3 linked regions of the Arabidopsis thaliana genome follow. The protein of the gene in region 1 interacts with the protein of each later gene in a pairwise test. Each region holds a gene or a part of one and is shown on either strand. Other genes may lie near its edges.

Evidence for each region.
Region 2: the proteins of AT3G13940 (region 1) and AT1G79070 interact in a two-hybrid assay, tested with the Arabidopsis thaliana proteins (one large-scale study listed by BioGRID).
Region 3: the proteins of AT3G13940 (region 1) and AT3G21490 interact in a two-hybrid assay, tested with the Arabidopsis thaliana proteins (one large-scale study listed by BioGRID).

The regions. Positions count from the first base shown.
Region 1 is NC_003074.8:4,597,828-4,606,880, forward strand, and holds AT3G13940 (DNA binding / DNA-directed RNA polymerase), read right to left. Parts: upstream 4,756-9,053; 5' UTR 4,586-4,755; coding exon 4,124-4,585; intron 3,990-4,123; coding exon 3,852-3,989; intron 3,706-3,851; coding exon 3,391-3,705; intron 3,234-3,390; coding exon 2,820-3,233; 3' UTR 2,595-2,819; downstream 1-2,594. Other genes in the region: AT3G13930 (Dihydrolipoamide acetyltransferase, long form protein), read left to right, coding at 56-148, 331-570, 661-733, 841-941, 1,070-1,155, 1,229-1,304, 1,389-1,456, 1,544-1,610 and 4 more; AT3G13950 (ankyrin), read left to right, coding at 6,322-6,692, 7,116-7,368.
Region 2 is NC_003070.9:29,741,594-29,750,488, forward strand, and holds AT1G79070 (SNARE-associated protein-like protein), read right to left. Parts: upstream 4,223-8,895; 5' UTR 4,215-4,222; coding exon 3,989-4,214; intron 3,739-3,988; coding exon 3,574-3,738; intron 3,451-3,573; coding exon 3,425-3,450; 3' UTR 2,678-3,424; downstream 1-2,677. Other genes in the region: AT1G79060 (TPRXL), read left to right, coding at 280-1,470; AT1G79080 (Pentatricopeptide repeat (PPR) superfamily protein), read right to left, coding at 5,509-7,239; AT1G79090 (topoisomerase II-associated protein), read right to left, coding at 7,958-8,895.
Region 3 is NC_003074.8:7,568,627-7,576,146, reverse strand, and holds AT3G21490 (Heavy metal transport/detoxification superfamily protein), read right to left. Parts: upstream 3,083-7,520; coding exon 3,047-3,082; intron 2,937-3,046; coding exon 2,855-2,936; intron 2,771-2,854; coding exon 2,478-2,770; downstream 1-2,477. Other genes in the region: DXPS1 (1-deoxy-D-xylulose 5-phosphate synthase 1), read left to right, coding at 55-219, 307-457, 538-987, 1,062-1,369, 1,442-1,723, 1,803-2,087, 2,176-2,322; AT3G21480 (BRCT domain-containing DNA repair protein), read right to left, coding at 4,157-4,247, 4,348-4,414, 4,506-4,617, 4,709-4,789, 4,872-5,141, 5,305-7,286. UniProt on the Arabidopsis thaliana protein: Heavy-metal-binding protein.

The sequences.
Region 1 (9,053 bases):
CTGTATTGATTCTTATGCCAGGAATAAAACACTTATCTCAATCTTAATATTTTAGGACAAAGCAACAGTCGAAATGGAATGCATGGAAGAGGGTTTTCTCGCCAAGATAGTAAAGGAGGAGGGGGCAAAAGAAATTCAAGTTGGGGAGGTATGAGAGTTTCTGACTTTTGGAGACTTGTTAATTATAATGGGTTCTCATGAAGTATTTGATTGTGAGCCCTATGCTCCCTTTAGTTGAAGATCAATGAATATTCAATAAAAATGACAAAGATCTTTATCTTCATTTGTAGAATCACATATAAATGGTCCCTTTTTTTTTTGTCCAACTAGGTGATTGCTATCACAGTTGAAGATGAAGATGATATTCAAAAGTTTAAAGATTACACACCCTCATCCGATACTGGTCCCGCTGCGCCTGAAGCAAAACCAGCTCCTTCCCTACCAAAGGAAGAGAAGGTAGAGAAGCCAGCCAGTGCTCCTGAAGCCAAGATCTCTAAGCCAAGCTCAGCTCCTTCAGAAGATCGTATTTTTGCCAGTCCTCTTGCAAGAAAGTTGGCTGAAGATAATAATGTCAGTTTCCAGACGAAAAATATTAGTTAAGCTCGTGTTAGATCTCCATCTCTAATTTGTTTTTCCTACTTTTCCTTTGAAAAACATTAGGTACCTCTCTCAAGCATTAAAGGCACAGGTCCTGAAGGACGGATAGTGAAGGCTGATGTCGAAGATTTCTTAGGTATCAGAAATCCTTGGCTCTTCCCTCTTCTTACATTTTCCCCTCTCGTTACAGAATTTACCTCATCCCTATGTTCTAAATTTCTAATACATCTTCCTATGGTACAGCTTCAGGCAGTAAAGAAACTACTGCCAAACCTTCCAAGCAAGTGGATTCAAAGGTTCCAGCTCTTGACTATGTTGACATCCCTCACACTCAGATACGAAAGGCAAATACCTATACAACCTTATATCTTGATTGCTTGTGGTATTTCTAGATTACCTCGACCATATATCTCTCTGTTTTGTACTATAAGCCAAGAATTCCGAAGTTTTGTTAATTGTATAAATTTGACAGGTCACAGCCTCACGTTTGGCATTCTCAAAGCAAACTATTCCTCACTACTACTTGACCGTGGATACATGTGTTGACAAAATGATGGGGTAAGTATTAAGTTTTAGATCATATATTTTGATTAGGTAAGTGGATGCTAAACATAGCTATTTTTATATGCAGTCTTAGGAGTCAACTCAATTCATTTCAAGAGGCTTCCGGTGGGAAAAGGATATCTGTAAATGATCTTGTTATTAAGGTGCATCTTACTTCTTTTCTTGCAAGTCTAATTAAATCTCATTTTGTTCTCCATTATGAAACCTTTTCTTTTTCGAAATTGCAGGCTGCTGCACTGGCTCTTCGAAAAGTTCCTCAGTGCAATAGTTCATGGACAGATGAATACATCCGCCAGTAAGTACATATTCTGTTTCAGAGGTTCATGAAAACTTTGCAAATCATCTAGTTTCTTGGTTCTTATTTTCCTCCTTTTATGTACAGATTTAAAAATGTGAACATCAATGTCGCTGTACAAACAGAAAATGGGCTCTACGTTCCTGTGGTCAAGGTTAGGGAGCTCTTGATACAGTTATTAACCTTCCTCTGCAGAAACTTGAGATTTCTGAAAAACTCAGTTCATCTAATTGCTTGATTTCAGGACGCGGACAAGAAAGGACTGTCTACAATTGGAGAAGAGGTTCGATTCTTGGCTCAAAAAGCAAAAGAAAACAGCTTGAAGCCGGAAGATTATGAGGTTGGTTTAGAATTCGGTCAATCTCACTAGCATAATACTGCTGTGAAAGCAAATCAGCTCAAACTGTTTCTTCTGACAGGGAGGAACATTCACAGTCTCCAACCTGGGGGGACCTTTTGGCATCAAACAGTTCTGTGCCGTCATCAATCCACCTCAAGCAGCCATTCTAGCAATCGGATCTGGTAAGTCCTTAGCATACTCATCCACTTTATCCGTTGAAGTTTCTTCCGCGTAACTTATTATAGTGTTGGTGTCTGAATCTCAAAACAGCTGAAAAGAGAGTTGTTCCCGGTACTGGTCCAGACCAATACAACGTTGCTTCATACATGTCTGTAACACTAAGCTGTGACCACCGCGTAATAGATGGTACAGAATCCGCCTCTCATTCCTATTGTCATTATTAATCATCACCTCATCGAAAACGTCTAATAAGTCATCTTCCTGTGCAGGTGCAATTGGAGCCGAGTGGCTGAAAGCATTCAAGGGCTACATCGAGACCCCAGAATCTATGTTGCTCTAAAATTCAGACGCACACACACATCAAAAGCTAAACTCATAAGAGTCTTCTGACCTCAAATTTCTTTCCCACAACATATTCTACCAGATTTGATCAGCAGTAGGCAATGGCCTTTAAAGTTGAGTGTTTTGCTATTCTTTAAATCATTGAGTTGACAGATTTTTGTCTCAAAATAAAATCAGGAATCCAACAATTTCACTGTGCACTTGTTTTTTGGCTTAATGCTTGTTCATCATGGGTTGGCAAAATAAAACCCATTTACTTAATTTTATTAATCAACTCCAATAAATATCTCTTTCTTCTAATAAAATGTCACTTAGTTCACTATCATGGACTTAGAGCAGTTTGCTTGCTTAAATGCCAAAACATCATATATCATTAAACCCAAGAAACAGATGTCTTAGGAACTAAAACAATTTATAATATCTCAACAGACCGTCAAAGAAATATCATTAAAATAGCAGAAAATATGTAAAGATAGAACAAAATCTTCTCCTAGATCGTCATCACTTTCGTGCCCTGCGCCTCCGGTTAACCTCCGGGAAATTGAGAGGGGTCGGTAAGGTAGCAACCGTAGTAGAATTCTGCTTCAGGAATTTGCAGCCAAGCTGTAGAAAATGTTTCCTCAGCTCAACTGTGCTTATCCTCAGATCTTTTGCTATGTCTTCTGGATCGGTCATGAAATTATCCACGTGAAGGGATAGCACAAGAACGTAGCTTATCAGAAGGTTGATCTTGTCAACAGGTATCCTATCTGATTCAGAATCCTTGAACATGCTGTTGAATTTTTGACGGAAGATGTCTGGCATCTTGTGGTCTTTAGCGGAATCGTAACCATTCATTGAGTTTCTGTCCTTGAACTTAACCAGATGGGTGAGAAGCGTTGCAGCACCACAAACCGTCTGCTTTTTCATATCGTCCTGCATATGTAACAAAATGACATACATACATAAAGAATCTTCTGAGCAGTAGATAAAACCATGAGAAGTTCAGAATCCATTTAATCAGAGCAAACCGCGAAAGTGGTGCAAGCTAACATAAAATATTTTGCATCCAAGAAAATAGTCATAATTTTACCTTGATATCTCGCAATCTGTACAATCTGTTGCGGACAAATACAGGGTAAGCCTCAGTTGCTGCTTCAGTTTCCTGTTGCAGAAGCCAGTAAATATCTTCAAGAAAACTCCAATCCCCCTTTTCAATGATCTTTTCTAAGGGATAAGCTTCATTTGCAGTCGTTGCAGCGGTATTGTAAGGAGGAATGTTGCGTGCAACAGTAGAACTGGTGCCTTCAAGAGCAGCTGTGTTAACACCTAACTCACTTAGTTTCCCATCAAGGACCTTCTGAGTCGCAGCATCATCTCCCATATATAAGGCACGCTTCTTCTTATCCTGCATAGAGACACACATTCTCACTCAGACATATAATCCTCCCAACGAATCTCACGACAATCAGTTCTCTACTAGTCTGGATACCAATAAGACAGATACTGTAGGAAACAGTAGAATTGGTGTTTTCAGATGCTGTAGTAACATACCCGAGTAACAGCTTTTTTTGTATTATAACGATCGCGTTCTCCTGTTTTTAGTTCTTCAAGTTCTTTGACGACAGCACTTCCTGAAGCTTCTTCCTCATTTGTTTCTTGAGCTTTAACTCTAGGCTCCAATCTGATTATCTACAAGTAACACAAAACCAAACTCAAACTCTCAAAAATCATTTCTTTTCTATTCACAACCATACACTCAAAACATTCCAACTAATTCAAACCAATTAATCACCAAAATCAAAACAAGGTAACAGAATTTAAACCTTATTGTGAGCAACAGGAAGAATCCTCAAAGTTTTAGCCTCTCTATTAAAAACACCAACTCTATAAGTATTCGTCTGCATAGCAGCTTGCTCGCCTGTGTAATTAGTTCCGACGAACTCAACTCTTGCGCCTGGAGGACTTACAACAACCTGAATCCTCTTCTTAGAATCATCCTTATGCTTGTAAACAGTAACCTTGGGAGTTTCATGAACTCTCTTGCCTGTTTTTGGATCTACTTTACAAGGATCGTATCCTGTAGAGAAATAGGCGACGATCGGAGAGATTCTATCGGGTCTCTCGGCGACTTGCGTGACTTTGAGAGTAACTCTCTTGTCTTCTTCGTTTTCATCCTCTGTTTCCGTTGCTATTTTTTTCCCTTTCCTTTGCTTCTTTTGTAGTTGTTGTGGTGTATTGAAATCTTCTTCCTCGTTTCTATAATCATTCTTCTCTTCGCCTTCCATGGCTACTGAGGTTTGGATTCTTTTAGTCTATCGAAGAAGCGGCAGCGATTCAGAGAAGGGTTTACTGGAAACTCACTAAATGCTTAAACCCTAATTTGGTTATGTTTCGGGAATTTATTACATAACAGACCCTTGTTGTTTGTCCGAGTCGATAAAGAAATCTTCACAGTTTTTTTTTTTGACCCCAAACTTTTAATTTGTTTAGAAAGATCTACACCGTTATAACGACGTCTACGGACTACGGAATCTAAACCCTGGCTTTTTCTCTTAGCTAAAACGACACGTAGTTCGCCTGAAACTTAGAAAACAAACACACGCTGTTTGCAAAGATCCCAATTTACATTGATCTACCTCCAAAGTATCTAAACTCTTCTTTAAAGCTTTGGCCACATAACCTTCTTTTAAGTTTTTTTTAACTATGGATTCTATTATCTTCTAATTTTTTCATCATTTCTAGACCAAGTTTCTATGCTGGAACAAATGTAAAATTTTGATCCAAGTACACCAAATTCTTAGTTCGTTTTTAATATAGATATTTCAGGTTAAGTGTATATTGGACTGATATCATCACAACTAGTTTTCACTTTTGACAGTGGACTACTATCGGATCGGTTATTCTTTGATTAGGGTTCTTTAACACGTTCTCTCTCTTTTTTTCGAGTCCAAAATAAAGTCTTGTCGTCCAACTAGCTAGCGTAGGATTTGGTGAACTTGGATACATATATTTTTATTCGTCGTCAAACTTACCTAGCAACAAAACAAGTAATGCTGTACTATTTTATTTTATTTTGATAATCACCTGATCACCTTACCCAGATACATATTTAAGCTGACGTATCAAATATTTGTGTAATATTATATGAGTAACATTTGCAGGTATGTATATCTAATAAAAAATTTAAGAAAAGAGTAAATCGTGGTGTGTGATGTTGATGTACGACCACAGTTTTCTTATGCCACTTACAACTTTTGTAATAGTTGAACATAAAAGAGCTAGCGTTGTGGATAGATAGATGAAAATTAATCTATACAATCGATTAATTAACATTGCCAATATTCAACCACTAGATCATGACTCTGTTACTTGTTAGTAGCTTAATTTATCATTATGTTGAAGATTTTATATGTACTAATGTCACTGTTCACTGTTGCGCAATTAATTAATGTTCTAGTTTTTTTCTCCGCAATTAACTAATGTTCAACTTCAACTTAATTTTGGTTTGTTGAATGGTATGCAACGACTGTTCTTTATCCGCTATATATCTTTATCTTTTTATACCACAAGTCGTATAAGTCATTAGATACAATGACAAGATGACAAATGTAGTACTATGAAAGAAAAGACACGTTGAAAGAAGAGTGACACAAATGAGAGATATGATCTCCCAGAGTCAAATTTGAGGTCTTGCGATTCTCCTATAAACCTCAAAAACTCTATTTAGTTAGAAATATATAAAAAATAACGACGACGCTTCTTCCCTAATGTCGCTATCGTTGACTGACTTGATCAGAATCATATAGTTCTCAAAGAGTAGGTTTTTAATTCCCGTACGTGATCAACAAACAAATGGTTTCAAATTAGACTTTTGCTGATCAAACCAGAAATTTCTATCTCCCTTTCCTTTTTTAAAAAGACTCGTTCTTTTTTTTCCTTTATAATCTCGACAAAGAGAGAAGTTACATATATAAATTTTAAGAATTATAACTCTTTTGTAAAGCATTCATCGCTTCAAATCATGGAGATCAACGGTCAAGAAGGTCATCGATACGAAGAATCATCATCAGAGTGGTTCGTAAAGTATCTAAAACGTCAAGGCGATTGGTTAGAGAAAACTAGAGGGAATCTTATGGTTACAGCTACGGTTATAGCCGGTATGAGCTTTCAAGTTATGGTTAATCCTCCCGGTGGCGTATGGCAAAGTGACAATTGTTCTTTCGGAAATCAAACCGGAACCGCACCGTTTTGTAAGGGGAGAGCGGGAACTGCGGTATTGGAATATGAGAGTTCAAAGCGTATAGCGTATATTGGGATGATTATTAGCAGTACAGTGTCATTTTCTACCTCAATGAGTCTCATTCTCCTTGTCATCAGCGGTATACGACTAAGGTACCAATAAATAAACTATATGTGCAACTCCATATAACAAGGCTACTTAGTATGTAAATTATTATAACTTGTTTGTATGTTAAGTCTGGAATTTTTATGTAACGCTTGTGTTTGACAAGATATTACTGAGAACTAAAAATAGTCATCTAAATTGAGATCTTGGTGTTGACTTTCGGTTTTAAGTATACCAACTATGTCGGCACAATGGTTGACTTAACATTAGCTATTTCAACAAAACTGGTCTGATTGGTAAAAATACTAATTCGATCGCTATTTGATTGGACTTTAAAACTATGGAAAGTTGATGACATATATCATAGTTATCTAATGGAATTTTGGTACACTCAGAATAAGTAGAGAAATTGTTTGGTATTAGAATAAACTAAAAGACACTTATATGATGATATAATTGTGTATATGAAGGAACCGGATGATAATGGCTATCCTCGGAACATTTATGGTGGTGGCGGTTCTTTGTATATCAGCGGCGTTCTTCTTCGCCATCGTGCTGGTTCAATCCGACGATCAAATAATTCGTTATATACTATTGATTTATGTGGGATTTTGGGTTGTATTTCCTGTTTTGATACTTTTAATCCAACTTGTTCGATTTATAGGTTGGCTTATTTGTTTCATGTGTTGTTGTTGTTGTCCACGTCGGCGACGGTTCCATTAGGGAGAGGTCCCATTAAGAAGAGAAGGAACCCGTGTTTCGAACCCACGTATGAATTTGGAACTTGATGTAGGAAAGTGATACTAGAATAAAAGTCTCCCAAGGACATTGTTATAACGTTTATTAATTCTATGGGTTATTTTTAAACTGTTTAATAAATGCATTTGATTATGTGAATCTTGGCAATTGTGTGGGTTGGTTTGTTGTAAAGTTAATTAATTGCGTGGGTTTGTACTGTTTAATAAATTCGTTTGATTAAAAATTGTATGTTCAAATAATGTGAATCGTGGCAATATCGCCTTGTGAATCGTGATTGGTGAACGATCGTGGTAATTTTTTTTTTTGCCAATAGTTATTCTTACCATGATCTTAGTCCAAATCGCTCGTATAACACAGTAATAAATAAATACAAAAAAAAAGAACAAAGAAAACAAACTAGAATGCGGTGCACACTAGAATGAAACATTACAAAAAACGATTGTGAGCATCTCGTTAATGGGAGAGATTAATATATCCGGAACAAAGCAATAAATATTTTCTCAAAAAAAAGAAGATATAATCATCTCAAAAAAAAAACAAGATAATTCTTTTGACGTAGAATATATAGTAAATAAAAAAACGTGGAATATAGCAATGTTTCATATATATATTCGTAAATCGTTGATTTTTATGTGATTGGATGGATGATGAAGCAAAAGTATTATATTCCCTTATATAAAACGAAGAATATCGTAAAGAACCCTCGAGGCCTAAAAGATGGTTAGGGTATAGACTATAGGCTATAGTATTAACATGTCAATTGTAAATGTCATGAAACTGAAAAAAGAAATAGGGAAAAGTGAGTCAAAGGGAGAAAAGGAGGTAGGTCTCTTGCCCTATAATATCTGCATTTACCCACCCATCATCTCCTATAATATAACCCATTTATAACTCTCCATTTTCTTCTTTTTTTGGTAAAAGTTTGAATTAACTCTTCATTTTCATTTTAATTAATTCGCTAAAAACATAATAAAAACAAGAAGAGAATAGATGATGATGATACAGATGAGTGACTAAAATGGAAATTTATGCACTAAAATGGAAATATCCCTTGGTCCAAAGGTCTTTCCACCTTCTTCTTCATAGCTTAATCACCATGATTATGATCATATATATCTTTGACCAACCAACAAGAGTGGAGCTCTAACTAATATGTGTAGGTACCATCTTACATATCTCCATATACGCATGCATATCATTTTCGAACCAATTTAGAAGGTGATGTATATAATCAAAAGTATTTAGGATGATGGTTTATCGCGTGAACACCATTTTGTTTAAGTACGTGGTCATCGCAAGGTAACCATCTTTATTTTCTTGGGTTGATCTTCACTAGCTATATATTAACCAATTACATATGTATTATTTTGTACTGAAGAAAGGATATAATTTGTAATCGCCAAATGATTGAATTAGTATTTGCTAATTACAAAAATTTGTAGAAATCGCGATAATTATCAACTTTTTTACTATATCCCATCATTCTACTATTACGCAATGTTATCAATTGTACTAGTTTGTTTCATCCACTATGTAAAATCATTCAAACCCTAAAGTCGATGCTCATCAGCTCATGTATATGTATGTATCATGTATATGTACATAAGATATAAAACCTTTATAGATGTGCATGTAAAAGAATGGTAGAT
Region 2 (8,895 bases), on another chromosome or scaffold:
GAATTAGCCGTTGATCCGAGAGGCTCCGCCATTGGCTCCAACAGAACAAATACCGTGAATGCCCCCACTAGTGCGGTGAGAAGCACGCGCCACCTGGGTCGTTTATAATAACTGTGGATGGCATTCGTGGCCCCTACTCTCCAAAACAAACTCACAACGCTCCAAACAAACCATTGTCACTCATCCATAAACCTCTCTCTTTCTTCTCTCTCTCTCTCGTTTGGATCTGGCCGTTGATTTTCTCCCGACGGCGATAAGTTTGTTGCATGAACGCCGGTGATGGCTTCTGTTTGCGTCAACAATGTTACTGTTTCTCAGGATTTTCCTACTTACGGATGTTTCAATCCACGAGCTTCTTTCAGCCGTGACGACGGTGGTCGGAGTTCTGGATCCGTCGCATCGGAGATTCCGAAGGAGGAAACAGCAGTCGGAGCTGGTGATTTCGAGTTTAGGTTAGAGGAGGATCCAGTCGGAATGCTCCCAGCCGATGAGCTTTTCTCCGACGGTAAACTCGTGACGAAGCAGCAACAACAACAGACGACGGAGATCGGCGGGAAATGCAGGAGGATGGAAGTCGTGGAGATTGAGATCTCCGGGGGTGGCGATAATTGCTCGTTTTCTCCAAAGGCGCCACGGTGTTCAAGTAGATGGAGGGACTTGTTAGGACTCAAACGATTCTCTCAGAATAGCAGCAAATCCGCGTCGACTGCGACGACGACGACGACGAATCCGAGATCGTCAACTTCGTCGTTGAAACAGTTCTTGCATCGGAGCTCCAGGTCCTCGTCGTCCTCTTCAGATGCTTCGTTACTCATGAGTCTTCCTCTCCTCAAAGATTCCGATTCCGAATCTGTCTCTATATCCTCTTCTCGTATGTCTCTCTCCTCTTCCTCCTCTGGCCATGACCACGAAGATCTTCCAAGACTCTCTCTCGATGCAGAGAGACCTAACCAAAACCACATCATTAACCTCAACCACAATCTCACTGCGAATCCATTTGCTCCGGCTCGTAGCCTAAACCCAAATCCACCGAGAATGAGGTTAGTGAACCATTCAACATCAGGAACCGGAGGAGGAAGAGTTGGACGCAGTCCGATGCGACGTTCCGGTGGAGAAACATCAGCCATAATGAACAGAGGAGTCTCTGTAGACAGTCCAAGACTAAACTCTTCAGGTAAAATCGTGTTCCAGAATCTAGAACGAAGCTCAAGCAGTCCGAGTAGCTTCAATGGTGGAACAAGCGGGTATAGACACAGAGGAATGGAGAGATCGTATAGCTCAAACGTTAGGGTTACTCCAGTTTTGAACGTTCCCGTTTGCTCAATCAGAGGTGGTTCAGTAGTCTTTGGTCAGTTTTTCTCTTCCTCGTCATCTTCATCTTCGTCGCAGAACAATAGAACAGGGAACAACAACAATAATAGAGCGTCGTGTCACATCAGTAGAGGCCGTAACTCCACGGATCGAATCTAACCCGACTATTATAAATGAAGGAACCATCAATGGTAACAACAACACTGTATTGATTCAACAGTAGCTAGCTAGTACTCTAGTAGTAATCATTCTGTTTTTTGGTTTGTTTACAACAAATCTTATTTTTAACAGAGCTTTTTTTTTATAAGGTATTAGAATTGTCCTGGGTGTGTAAATAAAGAATCTGCCATTGGTGAAGTGTAATTCTAGGGTTCATTGACATAGATAGAGACACAAAATTGGAAATGGAGACTCCTAAATTGTGTGTTTTTGCTTGTGCTTGGGTTGAGAGAGACACATAGAGAGAGTGAGGTAGACGCGCTAAAGGGATGCGCGTGGGTCAGAACATAGGAAACAGATTCTTTTGCTCTCTATCATATGCTCTTCTTCTGCGTGTATTTGCGCTCTCCCCACGTTGAAGCTTATCTAAGCTGTCTCTTTCATGTGATTTTATTTTTAATGTATCTTTTTATTATATAGTTTATTTTGTCGTTTTCTGTGTTTCGGAAATGATGCAGTCTTCAGAGACTTTACCACACTTTTCTCTTTCTTTCTTTATTTTGAGTTTTTTTTTTTTCTTTTTTTTTGCGGTTTATTTATTCGTTGGTTGTTGTTTTGTTAATCAAGGAAGGTTCGTTTAACCATTAATGTTGGAGCTATTGGTGGTCTTCGGTTTGAATCATCACATGTTTAAGTGTCAGGATTTCACGACCTTATTATCATAATGGTACGTGAAAGGTACCAAACTGTTCAAAGACTACTATTAAGTCGTATTAAAAAATGATAGATTGGACCAGCAATAGAGATTGTACAAGTACAAGACCCCCTAAGCTTCTTTCACCTGTCTCTATCCCTCCTGTTGTACTTCTCTCTTTGGTCCCCTTTCTCCTCCACTCACTTACTTAAAATACCCTAACAGCATTTGTGGTACAGGCTTTCTAATCAAATTCCATTTTGAGAAAAAAAAAAGTGTATATAGTCTTGAAAGTAACATCTATGATACTTACTAGTCATTACTTTGCAGCTCATGATTTGTAAAAGCAGCGAATAAAAGAGCAAAAGTAAGCTAGTTTTGTGGGTTTAAGACATACTTTAGAAGAGTTCCCGAAATGGGGCTTAGGTTTTTGTGTTTGTATGGATGTACCCACTAAACGGACCAATTAGATATTTGGTCAGAGGCTCGGTCTTCCATAGTTTTAATTTACCTCTTTTCTTCTGCATCATCATTAACTATTAACACCCTTACAAGTCACACCCATCATCATCGTTCACATAAATAGAAAGTTTAATCATAATAATGAAAAAAACATGGTTCTTTATAGAAGGAAGATAGTAATTATCGATCAACTAAAGAAAGTTGTGGCCCATGTAGTCTCCTCCTTATGAAAAGCTTGTAGTCTACAGAGAGAGCACTAGGACATCTAAAAACTAAAAGCCTACGAGATCCAATTATATAGGCATTCAATCACGTGACCCAGCGCAGAAGACACGTGACTCTGTTATATACGGGCATCCTCCTATCGATTTTGTCGTAGACCCACGTGACAAGATTTTATGATTATTAGATATTAATTTTTGTAAAGCCTATTACCAACAAGGCAACAATGCAACCAAAACGAAATAAAATAAAATAAAACGACCCGACATATTCACTTGAAAATTCTGTTCTACATGATTGATTGATGGACCATGTGGTTCATCGAATTAGAGCTTGCAACGATACAAAATAACAATTACTTATCTATTATAATAAAACAATCTAAATAAAAAAATGAAACTTGGGTATTCTAAACTAGAAACGAACTGATCCAATAAAAGCCCACTTAAAAGCCCAATAACACAACAATATGAGAAAACACTTGCGCTTGTACAAAAACACTCACCTCTTTGGGTTTGCTCCCAAATCCGAAGATGAGAGTGACAGAGTAACAGAGAGTGAGTAAGTGTTTCGTCATCATGTAGTTTCCGAGGATGCTTTCTCTGTGTTACAGTGAAAACAAAGTGAGATAATAATGCACTATATATAGATGACGAAGTAGTGAGTTCACAAATTCCCAAAACTAATAAAATTTTGGATTTGGTTTTGATAAAAGCATTTATAACCTTGCGTGGTGTTGGCAGAGAGCATGTGATCGATGTTATCGATACGTCGTTGGACAGATTTAAGAACAAGATTCAGAGATGAAACTCTTTGTTTGACGCTGGAAATTCTCGATGCGTGTTGTACAATGAATGGCAATGGAGCGTTTTCCAGTAATTGATCTAGCTCTGTGTTTCCATCACATTCAAATTTTGTTGTGTGAAAAAACAAAACACTATCCAATCTAAAAATTTCACAAGAATCAATTCTTAAGCAATTTTGTTAGACCAATGGCAATATAATGGTTAAGAAACTTAATCGGATCAATTGGATTGATTTGTGCGTAATCTAATTAACAAATACGGAGACGAAGCTTGTGAATCGATTGATTTCACCAATTAAGTTAAATACGAATCTCGGGAAGAGGTTAAATTGTACCTTGGACAAGGCGATCGAGAGAACCGGAGAGTTCATCTTGGCTATTGAGCGTGTCAAGAGCTTTAGAGTCAAAGTCTTTAATGACGGACTCGAGCATCGCTGATAAGCCTCGAGCCATTGCTTCTCCGCCGCCGCCGCATTGACCATCTTCTGCGGTGGTGGATTGACATGAGCTAGTAGTTGCATCAGCAGAATCGCGGTGGTCCGAGTCTGATAGCTGCTCCATTTCCCGGCGAGGCTCTCCTAAAGTTTGTTGGTTTTTTAAGGTTTTCTTCAAGAGGAAAAAGAGCCTTGTGTGGATAATGACGCAAATAGCCCTGAGAAGTTAATGTATTTCCGATTCAGATATTTTAGGGCTTTTCTACAAATGTGTGTGTGTGTATATATGTTTAACGACGCCTTCATTTCTCCGATTCGATTCAGAGCGACAAGATGAGAGCCAAGGTCAGTTTTTTATCTACAACTTTAGCTATGCTTCTGTAGGTTTTATCAAAAATGTTGTGTGTTGATCTTTAAGTATATTGGGAATTTTGTGAATTGCTGTTTATAGAATCAGTCGAGTGAGATTGAAACCTTGGTTTAGTGTAGCACGACCTGTAGGATATTGAAATTTATTGATTAGGATTGTGATTTCTACTCATGGTTTTGCTCTTGCCGAAAGAGAATGTTGGGATTTTCATCAAAAGTTCGGTTATTGTTAAATTTGGGATTTGATATAAGAGCTCTGTTTTCTGGAAGATTTGGTATGAAATGAGATACTCTGGTTTGTAACAGTTGAGTTTTATATCTCACAATGTTGGTCTCTCCTAATATTGATCATATCATTTTATGTGTGATTTGTACTTGATGGAAGAGAATGTTGGGATTTTAATCAAGTTTTGGGTTATTGTTGAATTTACGATTTCAATTTCACTATCTTGATCTCTCCTACTATGTAAATTTTATGGTTGATCATTGCCTCTTTTTTTTTTTTTTTTGGGTGAGTAGAAGCCAATTCTGATCCATACAATATGATCCTAGTTTGGGTTTAGTGAATGGTTTTTGTTTTTCTTTTGCAGTGGAAGAAGAAGCGTATGAGGAGGCTTAAGAGGAAGAGACGAAAGATGAGACAGCGTTCTAAGTAAATTTGCCTTTGAAGACAATGCGACTCTGTTTCTTGCTTCTCTCCCTTTCTCTCTTGCAAACATTGTTCTTACTATAAGCTTCCTTTTATGTTTCAGACTTGTTTAAGATTTTAATCAAAAAGAAAGTTTCAGACTTTACTTCATCGTCTACACCTATTCGCTGCTAGAATTTACACATTGTCTCCATTTGTTTCAATCGGATCTTTAAGATGTTAGGCACAATGTGTGTGTGTTACTTGATTCTTATTGATCTCTGATCTGTTGTTCTAAACCTGAAGATTACATGAATCATCGTCTCCATAAAAATGATACAAACAGTGAAAAAATACTGTATACTAAAAGTTTTATAGAAAAGAAAAAAGCCTCATGGTGTTCGTTATCTTCGCCTCCTACCCATCAATCTAAATTGAACTGCATTACAATCCTATCTACTGCGTTCTGTCCTATAACCTTACGCAATCGTAGCTCATCAAGAACTTCTTTAGCCAGCTCCAATTCATCCTCATGAGCTATCCCTTCAACGAGTATCGCATATGTTGTCTCATTCGGCATTCTCTTCTTCTCAACCATCATCTCAAACACCTCCATTGCCAAATCTGTCCTCCTTATCTTGCACAACCCTAGGATCATGGCGTTAAAGTTATCCACTGTAGGTTTACAATTCTCACTCTCTTCCATTATCGACAAAACCTCCATGGCTCCTGTAAACATCCCTTCCAGACACAGCCCTCTGATCAAAGCCGAGTAGGTGTGCGCATCGGGATCAAACCCGCACCTAGTCATCTCGTACAAGAGCTGGAACGCTGCAAAGGTGTTACCTTTCCTGCAGAGACTCGTGATTACGCTTTTGTAGAAATCATGCGTGCAGCATTTCTGCTTGTTGCTTAAGCTCTGTATTATGTAAAACGCTTCCTGCACCTTGCTGTTATGCTCGCATAACGAACCTATTGCATTGTACGTTCCTTCGTTTGGTTTACAACGCCGGTATATCATCTCGTCTAGACATTTCACAACAAGATCAACTTTTCCTTCCTTGCACAGACGGGCGATCACCGGATTATAGCTCGTGGCAGTGACTCTAAACTGATGATTTCCTTTGCTCATCTCCTTTAAAACCTGCAGTGCCTGCTCTGTTCTTCCATGAAAAGCTAACGAATTGATCAATATGTTATAGGTAACAACTGAAGGAGCTCGATCTCCACCGTCCATCTCAGCCAAGAGCGAATTCGCTTCCTCCCACCTCCCATCACAGCACAAACACCTCAACAAAATGTTATAGCTCACAACATTTGCCTTAAACCCTTTTGCAGGTAATTCCCTAAACAGCGCCATGGCATCGTCTGTTCTCCCTTCTTTACAGAAACCAGTCAACAGCACATTATAGCTAACCAAATTGGGTTCACCGCCTTTCACAATGATCTCATCTAAGAGCTTCACAGCTTCGTCGGTTCCTCGTTCTTTATAAGCTGCTTCAAGCAAGAAAGAATAAGTGAAAGCATTTGGAGCTAAGCCTTTCTGCATCAACCTCTCAACAAACTGTAAGCTTTGATTTAAGCTACCAAGCATACAAAGACCTCGAACCAAGGCATTGTAAGTAACGGTATTAGAAGGATAACCATGATCTTCCATTTTCTCAACAAGCTGCATCGCATAACCAACGTTACCTCTTTTACAAAGCTGATTAACCAAATACGTGTAAGCAGATGCATCGGGTATAATCCCGGAGCTAACCATAAGCTCAATCACACGAATGGCTTTCTTCAATCTATTGGCTTTGCAGAGATCGTACAAGAGCTGAGTAGAATGAGCTACATTGGGTTTATGCCCTCCCGTGACTAAACTTTCTAGATGAGAGAAACTATCGCTCAAATTCGGCTCGTCGCTTCTCGGGTCATCAGAAAACGACCCGGAATCCAAATCGGGTTTCCAACTGGATCCAGTAATGGTAAAGGCGGAGTCTTTAGGGGATAATGTTATCTGGGTCGAAGCTAAAACCCTAGCAACACCTTTACTGACGGAGGAGAAATGAAGGAAACCAGAAGGGATGTGGGAAACAAAACCTACGGCTTTTCTCGGCGATGATTCCGGTGACGCCATGGATAAGACTGAGTTCAGTAGAGTCGACATGGCTTAAAATCGGACAGCAATCAGAAAAAGGAAGGAGATGAAATGAAAGTTTTGGGTTTTACGAACAACCCAGAAAAGAAAAGGATCATTATGTACTTTCCCACTCTCTGATCCTAAATCAAATTCAATCTAATTATTTTTCATTCTTGTGTTCTTCTTTAGATCCGAAAGGTTTGGTTCCTTTTTTCCTCCGCCTCTGTTATCAACGCGTCCAAACATGCGCGTGTACACCACTCTTTTAGCCGAAACGTGAATGCTCGAGCTTGTGAGAGAAGATGGTACGAAGAACAAATTGAGTAATCATTACCAAAGCATAACTCAGAATGTTTATTGGTAAAACAGAGTAAGAAAAAAAAAGGAAAGAGAATTTATCAAAAACATAAACAAGGTTTCAAAAACAAATATCGAAACGACAATGAGATCAACTAAACAAAAGACAGAAATACAAATGCCTGAAACCTCTTCATAAGTTCTGCAAAACCTAAAGACTTTTTTCTCTGTACAGAGACCAAACTTCTTCTCCACTGCTTTTACCTATAAGACACAAAACCAGTATTGTCCATTTGAAGGAAGAATCCTAACTCTCTGATGCAAATAGAAATAGTTTGAATCGATTCTCTCTACCTTTCTTCCCGCGGTATCTGCGTGATCTTTATGCCTTCATATACAGACTTCACCATACAGTTTCTTTGATTTTACTGTTTCAATCTTCATCCTATCAACTTAATACTGGCTCGGTTTTCTGGCTTCCGAGCATAGATCGTTTCAAAAACTCCATCAGTATCCTCTTTTGCTGCTCATCAATGTGTGGGAAACTTGAACGTAGAAGCTCTATTGGCATTTCGCGGACAATGGCTTTTGCAGCTTCTTCAGATATCTCAGTGGCAAAATGCGGTGGCAATTGCAAACTCTGCATGATGCTATCGTATTTGCTGATGCAGTACCTCATCAACATATTAAAGAACTCATTAAAGGAAGCGCGCCATAGAGCTATCCCTGCGTTGTTGAAATTATTAGCCCGGATAAGCTCGGAAGCTCTGTCGAGTATTGATTTCAATACTGTGGAAGCTCCGTCTCCAACAGGACTGCCTAAGGGGCGGAGCGGTGCCTGCTCAGAAGAACAAGACACCGCTGCTAGACACGTGCTTACCGGTCCTAACTCCATGTTTTGAATGCACAAGTTGATAACTGTTGCAAGCTTATTTGTGGTTTTGATGATATCGGGGTCAGATGAAAGGACTCCGAACAATGACCTTAAATGACGGAAAATGGCCATGCAAACTATCCGCATTAGGTCGCTGCCAGGGAAAATTAGCTGAAGATACCTTATAAGTAGCTTTCGACCCTTTGGAAGAGAGATAACCCTTAGAAAGAGAAAATCATCAAGAGACTGGCTTTGCCCATTCTTGGCGAGGGGATCACCGAGCTGAAGTGAAACCGCAAGGCTCTGCAACAATGCTTGTCGTCTTTGTTTCAACTGGTGTCCTCCGTCCTGGAGTTGGTTAAACTCCAAGAAACGATCTATATCATCAACTTCAAGGAGGAGACAAAGACCATCCTCAATGTACACTCTAGCTGCAAGCATCGGCTCTTGATCAAGGGGCTTATCCGTAGGTTTATGCTCTGCATTACCAAATTTAGCTGAATTTGGAGGGT
Region 3 (7,520 bases), 3.0 Mb from region 1:
CTTGTTTTGTGTCAAATCAAGGATGTGATGATGAAAAAGTGTTCTGCTATGTAGGAACTCAAAGTTCTTTCGGACGAGTTGAGATCTGATGTTATTTTTAATGTTTCGAAAACTGGAGGACACTTGGGTTCGAATCTTGGTGTTGTTGAGCTCACCGTGGCCCTTCATTACATCTTCAATACTCCTCATGATAAGATCCTTTGGGATGTTGGTCATCAGGTTGGTTATCTCATTGCAAGCATAAGTTTTCCTTTAGCTACATGTACAAGTGTTTTTAACTTGTTTTGTTTTTGTCTTTTTGACAAGTCTTATCCTCACAAGATTCTAACGGGAAGAAGAGGAAAGATGAAGACAATAAGGCAGACCAATGGCCTCTCCGGCTACACCAAGCGAAGAGAGAGTGAGCATGACTCTTTTGGCACCGGGCACAGTTCGACCACACTATCTGCAGGCTTAGGTCATACTTGTTATTTTCTTGTGTCACAAGAAAACAAGAAAAATCACTTTCCTAACATGCATGCGGAAATTGTGAATCAGGGATGGCTGTAGGGAGGGATTTGAAGGGGATGAACAACAGCGTGGTTTCGGTTATAGGCGATGGTGCTATGACAGCTGGACAAGCTTATGAAGCAATGAACAATGCTGGCTACTTACACTCCAACATGATTGTGATTCTCAACGACAACAAACAAGTATCTTTGCCTACTGCTAACTTGGATGGACCAACTCAACCTGTTGGAGCTCTGAGCTGTGCTCTTAGTAGGCTGCAATCTAATTGTGGAATGATTAGAGAGACTAGTTCAACACTGTTTGAAGAACTTGGTTTTCACTATGTTGGTCCAGTTGATGGACACAACATAGATGATCTGGTCTCCATTCTTGAAACATTAAAGAGCACCAAAACCATAGGACCGGTTCTTATCCATGTCGTGACTGAGAAAGGTCGTGGATATCCTTACGCAGAGAGAGCTGATGACAAGTATCATGGTAAAATTAATTTTCATATCTTCTTGACTATACTAAGCACTCTTGGATTGATCCATATTTCTCATTCTTGTCAGGAGTTTTAAAATTTGATCCAGAAACAGGTAAACAGTTCAAAAATATTTCCAAGACTCAGTCTTACACTTCCTGTTTTGTGGAGGCCTTGATTGCAGAAGCAGAGGCAGACAAAGATATTGTTGCCATTCATGCAGCCATGGGAGGTGGAACCATGTTGAATCTCTTCGAAAGCCGCTTTCCTACAAGGTGTTTCGATGTCGGCATAGCAGAACAACATGCAGTTACCTTCGCTGCTGGTCTTGCTTGCGAAGGACTTAAGCCCTTTTGTACAATCTACTCATCTTTCATGCAACGGGCATATGATCAAGTAATAGAGTCACATATTTTTGGTTATTTGCTTATTGTGATGTGGTAACTAGACTAAAACTAGTTTGTGTAGGTTGTACATGATGTTGATCTACAGAAACTGCCTGTGAGATTTGCAATAGATAGAGCAGGACTTATGGGAGCAGATGGTCCAACACATTGTGGAGCATTTGATGTGACGTTTATGGCATGTCTACCAAACATGATAGTAATGGCTCCATCTGATGAAGCAGAGCTTTTTAACATGGTTGCAACCGCTGCAGCTATTGATGACCGTCCTTCTTGCTTTCGATATCATAGAGGAAATGGTATTGGTGTTTCACTTCCTCCTGGTAACAAAGGTGTCCCTCTTCAGGTATGTTTAGTAAAAACAATATTGTGAATCCAAAACTTTAACATTCTAAGTTTTAATCTTTGTGTGTTTTTAATTTCAGATTGGGAGAGGTAGGATACTAAGGGACGGCGAGAGGGTTGCGCTTTTGGGCTATGGATCAGCGGTGCAAAGATGTTTAGAGGCTGCATCTATGCTAAGCGAACGCGGATTAAAGATAACAGTAGCGGATGCAAGATTCTGTAAGCCGTTAGATGTTGCTCTCATTCGTAGCTTAGCTAAATCACACGAGGTTTTGATCACGGTTGAAGAAGGTTCCATTGGAGGATTTGGATCGCATGTGGTACAATTTCTTGCACTTGATGGCCTTCTTGATGGAAAGCTCAAGGTACATTAACAATTTTTTACACATTCTTAATATTCATTTGTATACCATTTGGTACCTGTCTTAAAATGTTCTTTCATTTTGACAAAAGTGGAGACCAATGGTACTACCTGACAGGTATATCGAACATGGATCACCAATGGATCAACTAGCTGAAGCTGGCCTCACAGCGTCTCACATTGCAGCCACTGCACTTAACTTAATGGGAACACCTAGAGAAGCATTGTTTTGGGAGTAACGGGATCTCCATGAGAGTGCTCTTTCCACAAAAAACCTATATCGAGAGAACCCGCTTAGAAGAAGGATATATTATAGTTATATAACATCTTGAATAAATTCATTCACATTCAAGAATGATTTTGTGTGTATTGCTTATATCTCGTTTCAACTAGGCTAAGAAATAGAACAAATGGCTTTGACGTTTTCATCACTAAACACCATAAATTTCTCCATCTCCCAATCACAAAACCCGAACATCGACTGATCCCCTAAACAAATCGATTCCATATCAATCTCGAGAACATTTTCGTTCTCCTTACTAGATTCTTCACCTTTCTCTTCCTTAACTACAATCTTCACTCTTTTGCCAGTCTTCTTCTTAAGCTTCTTCAACAACTTGTTCGGATCAATCTTTCCCCTGACCACAACCTTGTGGTTAATCATATCCGTCACAAACGTTTCAACTCCTATGAAAATTCATAGATCATTCAAATTAGAAACTATAAAAAACATGTATATACCTTTGAAGGAAACGTTACTTTGATTTATACCTTTGAATTTGGAAATAACTCTAGCGATTTTTCTCTCGCAGTCGTTGCAATGCATCGATACATTGAATTCGACATCCATATACTACAACATATCGAAGAAAATTGAGAAAACAAATGAAGTAACGTATTGAAAACAGAGGAAAAAAAACAGAGGATTAACAACAAAAAGGAGAATGTTAAGTAAGATCTTACTCTGACATTGTCCTTTTTCTTCTTATCTTTCGTCATTGTTGAATCGACGACAATTAGTTTATGAAGTTCAGACTGTAGTTTATGTCTGAAGCGACAAGAGATGACAAAAACTCAAAAGAGTCGGATAGTTTTTGAATTTTGTGATGCAATGGCAGTTTAGATTTAGGATGGGAGTTATTGACGGTTAATACCGTTCCTTAATTATTCTGTTCGAGTTTAATAGATGCAAGTGTGAAATGCAAGTGTGAATACTTAATTGAATCTCATTGTAATGTGAATTGTGATAACGGTTCGTTTTTAAAAAAAAAATAGTGTAATGTTGTGACTTAGATATCATTAGATTTAATAATTTAGATATCGTTAGGATAATCCATTATATATTAGAGAAATACGTAAAAATCTACGGTAAATCTCCGGTAAACCCTACTATGTAAGTTTGAGCTTTAATGAAGCCAATGCACCTGTTCAATTAACGTTCCGGCTAATGTTGGTTTTACAATTAACGTTTAAACCTGTTGCCGAACTCGTACCACCCGCTGGTGGAGGTGGTGGTGGATTAAACGTTAATGTTCTTCCTCCGGCTGGTGGAGCGTGGTGGCGTTGAACAAGTAGTAAAAGCTAATCCTAAAGTTTTTTTTTTATTTGAGCGTGGACAGCAGAGTGTGGTCGGATTGTGATGGAGCTCTTTGCAGACACGACACCACGAGCGGCGGAGAATTTCCGGGCCCTATGTACACAGGGAGAAAGGGATGGGGAAGCTTGGTAAGCCACTCCACTACAAGGGATCAATCTTCCACCGTCTTGAACCTAATCAAATGTTCTGTGGAGGAGATTTCACTGCTGGTGATGGAAGCGGAGGCGAATGTTTGCCTTTGGTTTTGAGTTTGGGTGTTTCCATCGATTTTTTAAATAATTTAGCTACCATTCAATGATGAAATAGAAAGGTTAAAGAATCTCTATCGTTGTTCCTCTTTTCAATTTGTTCATAATGACTCAAAACCCAACAGATTATAGTTACACGAGTTAAGCCAAACATGTTACATATACAGCCACTTTCTAAACTAATCTAAAACTGAACTATCATATAGGAGTTTGATCACATTTACTCTTTTACCCGCTACGACGTTGGAACTTACCTTTCCCGTCTTTGATCCATATCGTTGACCGCGTTCTTCTCACATGGTCTGTGAAGAGACGGTACCTAACACAGTTCAAGATTCCCAAGTAAGAAGCCATGAATGAGATGAGACAAAGCTTTGTTCGACAAATATAAGAATTTATTGTCTAATAACAATACCCACCTCTCATACTCAAGCCTTTGGGTAACTATCCCATTTAGTAGTAACTCCGAGCTATATACCTCGGCCCCTGAGAAGAAGGAAAAGAAAAACTGTGATTTCCCCGTGAAATCTACCACATACAAAAGCAGAAGTTATATAGACCAAACTATAAAACTCACCTCTTTCCAGAAAGGGTATACAGATAGCGCGATCCTCTTCACATGATAAGACCAGAAGATTCTCTGGGACCTTATCTTCGCTTAGGGAAGATCTTCCGAGTCTTTCTACAGGCTGGCATTTGTTTTCATTATGGATCAGTTTCGGGGAGAAAAAGTTTTGAAAACATGCACATGAAAGTGTAAAAAGGTGAAGAAATGATTACCAGTCCATGAACTGCTTTAACCAAAGTAGTGATTGTGTTTAAAGCAGGCTTTGTATTTGGAGTGATAAAAACTCTTCTTCCCTGAAATATGTAAATATAATGAGCCGAAAAGGGAGAATAAACGAGGTAAAAAAAGAATTGAAACCAAAAGAGTATTAGATACCTGTAGTAGCGGAAACTGGCGTGCACGAGCCAAAGAAACCCCCATGTTGAAACAGAACTCCTTCTCCTTCTTTGAATCTCTGAGTATATACATATCCTCATCAACGTATATGTTTACTTGATCGATGCTTTCAAGCCATTGTGTTGTGACCACTGGCTTGCCTGAAGCGATTGCCTCTAGCATGTTCCTTGTGCGCGTAAAGTTATCAGCTATGAAGTGTGTTGCCTCCTTCATGGAGGAAGCTTCCGAGATATCAAACCTTGCCAAAATCTGTTAAACATATCATATGCCAGATTGTTAAGAGGTTTACTTTTGTCTAGAAGACTTGGTTAATGCAAAACTGAAAATTCACTACCAATTGTAAAAGAAAAAGCAAGGAATAAGGTCACATGATCGAAGGTAACTAAAGTTACAGTTAGAAACCCAACTATACCTTCTTCTGATGCTTGGTCACATCTTCATCAAGATGCTGGCTGAACAAGACACATATACTACCCAAATCTCTTCTCTTTCTAGTACTCTTTGTCTCGGAGATAGGTTCCGCTACTGGTACGGTTAAGCTACGAAATTCCCTTGTAGTGTGTGATGTAAATGAATCTTTGCAAGAAAGTCTATGATACTCGTCACCCATGCATATAGGCGATACATTTGTTGACGGCGTCTTAGACTTAGCTGGAGTATCAAACGCGGGATCTGAACTCCTCCCAGCCTCATTAACCTGATCTTGTGAAATACGAGCTGATCTTCTCCGCTTGGGATAATTCAACACCTCAGCTTCACCTCTATGTGATTGCTTAAGTAACTTAGACATACAATGTTTGTTTGATAATTCTCCTTGCCTCTTTTCTGTGGTTGACGCAACAGCTTCATCTGGCGTATCAACTTTGTCATTTTTTGAATACCTATCCATATTCTTCTCAAAAGACTTAGCAAGAATTGATCTAGCCTTCTTGTTTTTTGGTTTCAATGATTCAACATCATTGTCCACAGCCTGAATCCCCTTGATCCTCTTGGACTTTCTGGTAACGACTCCACACCTAGAAATGCCTCCTTCCAATAACAATTTCTTACCTATTAGATTATTTGGCTCAGGATCAATTTCCCTGCCGTCCCCAGAGTGCAGAGCATTCATCACTTCAGCAGCCATTTGTGTATCAGGGCCTGCTTCTGCTTCTTCATGCCTATCAAACATTTCTGTATTACTTTCCTGAGAAACTTCATCAAACTCGTCAACAAGATTCTTTTTAGTTTCTCGTGAAGCAGTCTGGACCTTCCTACTCTTCCAGCAGCATGGACCTTCTTTATTAAGCTGGTCACCATTTGAAGATCCTTCGATATTCGTCCGGCAAGCTTTAGCAGGACTAGGACTAGCCTTCTTCATTCTTTTTTTCAACAATTCATCTTTACTCATAGCCTGAATCCTCTTAGTTCCCTTGGATTGTCTAGTAACGACTCCACCGGGAGAAAATCCTCTCTCTTCTTCTGGTGACAGTTTCTTTCCTGTAAGACAACTCGCCTCACCATCAAATTTGCCACGGTCTCCAGAGCACAGATCATCAATCGCTTCAGCAGCCACTTGTGTATCATTCCCTAAAACTGCCGCTTCACGAACTTCATCTAACTCTTTGCCAAGATTCTTTTTAGCACCCTGGATATTCTTTCGGCTCCTAGTCACACTATGCTTCAACAGTTTGGAATCAGAACGAGCCCATCTTTTATCCACTGCAACTGGTATCAGTTCTCTTTTCTGTTCTCTAGGCAAGCTAGAAAATTCCCGTCTTTTACTTGCAACGCCAAAGAATTCATCTTTTCTTCTACGATAGATATCACCCCCTCCTTCATCCTCACGATTATCATCCCAGTCGAAAATATTGTTTCCAACAGCTCCACTTTTGTAACTTACCTTCTTTGCTAATTCTTGTGGACCTTTAAAAATCTGAACAAATTTTGATTTATCTTCTGTTTTCCTTCCATAGTCAGCTTGAACTTCAAAATCAAACTCTAGACGGCACTCACTAATGAGCTTATCAACCAAGTTAAGAGCACTGGCCTGGGATTCCTCACCAGGTTCTTGAGAGCCAATATAACTCAAATTCCCCAGATCGACATTGCAATCAGTAGAATGAAATTTTTCTTCAGGGAAATCCTCTACGAAAAGCTTCCTCGCTGTTTTTTTTCCTGTTCTTAAGTCCTTTTTCTCTTCAACAAATAAACTGGTAAGAGATTGCTGATTCCCTACTTCCCCAACACTATTTTCTAGACCAGAATTATGTGTGGTTCCTTTCCCAGAAGAATGACAGTTGATTAGTGTAGAACAGTCAGTGTTGGCAGATTTTTGGTTTGCAACACGAGCTGCCACAGCAGAAGCACGAAAAGCTGCTGAACGAACTGAAGCGAACCTAGCCACCTTTTTTCCTGGTAAAAGAAAAAAAGGTCATTGGAAAAGTGCAAATGAGAGAGGGAACTTGAAAAGAATGCAAGGCAGATATTGTCTTAAAATAACTGCAAGTCTGCAACTACCAATGGTTTGTTAATAGAACACAGGAAAATATGACTACCTAATTAGATTAAGATCTCCATCTTCTAAAAGATTACATGAACATTAACAATGGAGTTACAAACTATATACAAAAACATACTTAGAGGCTG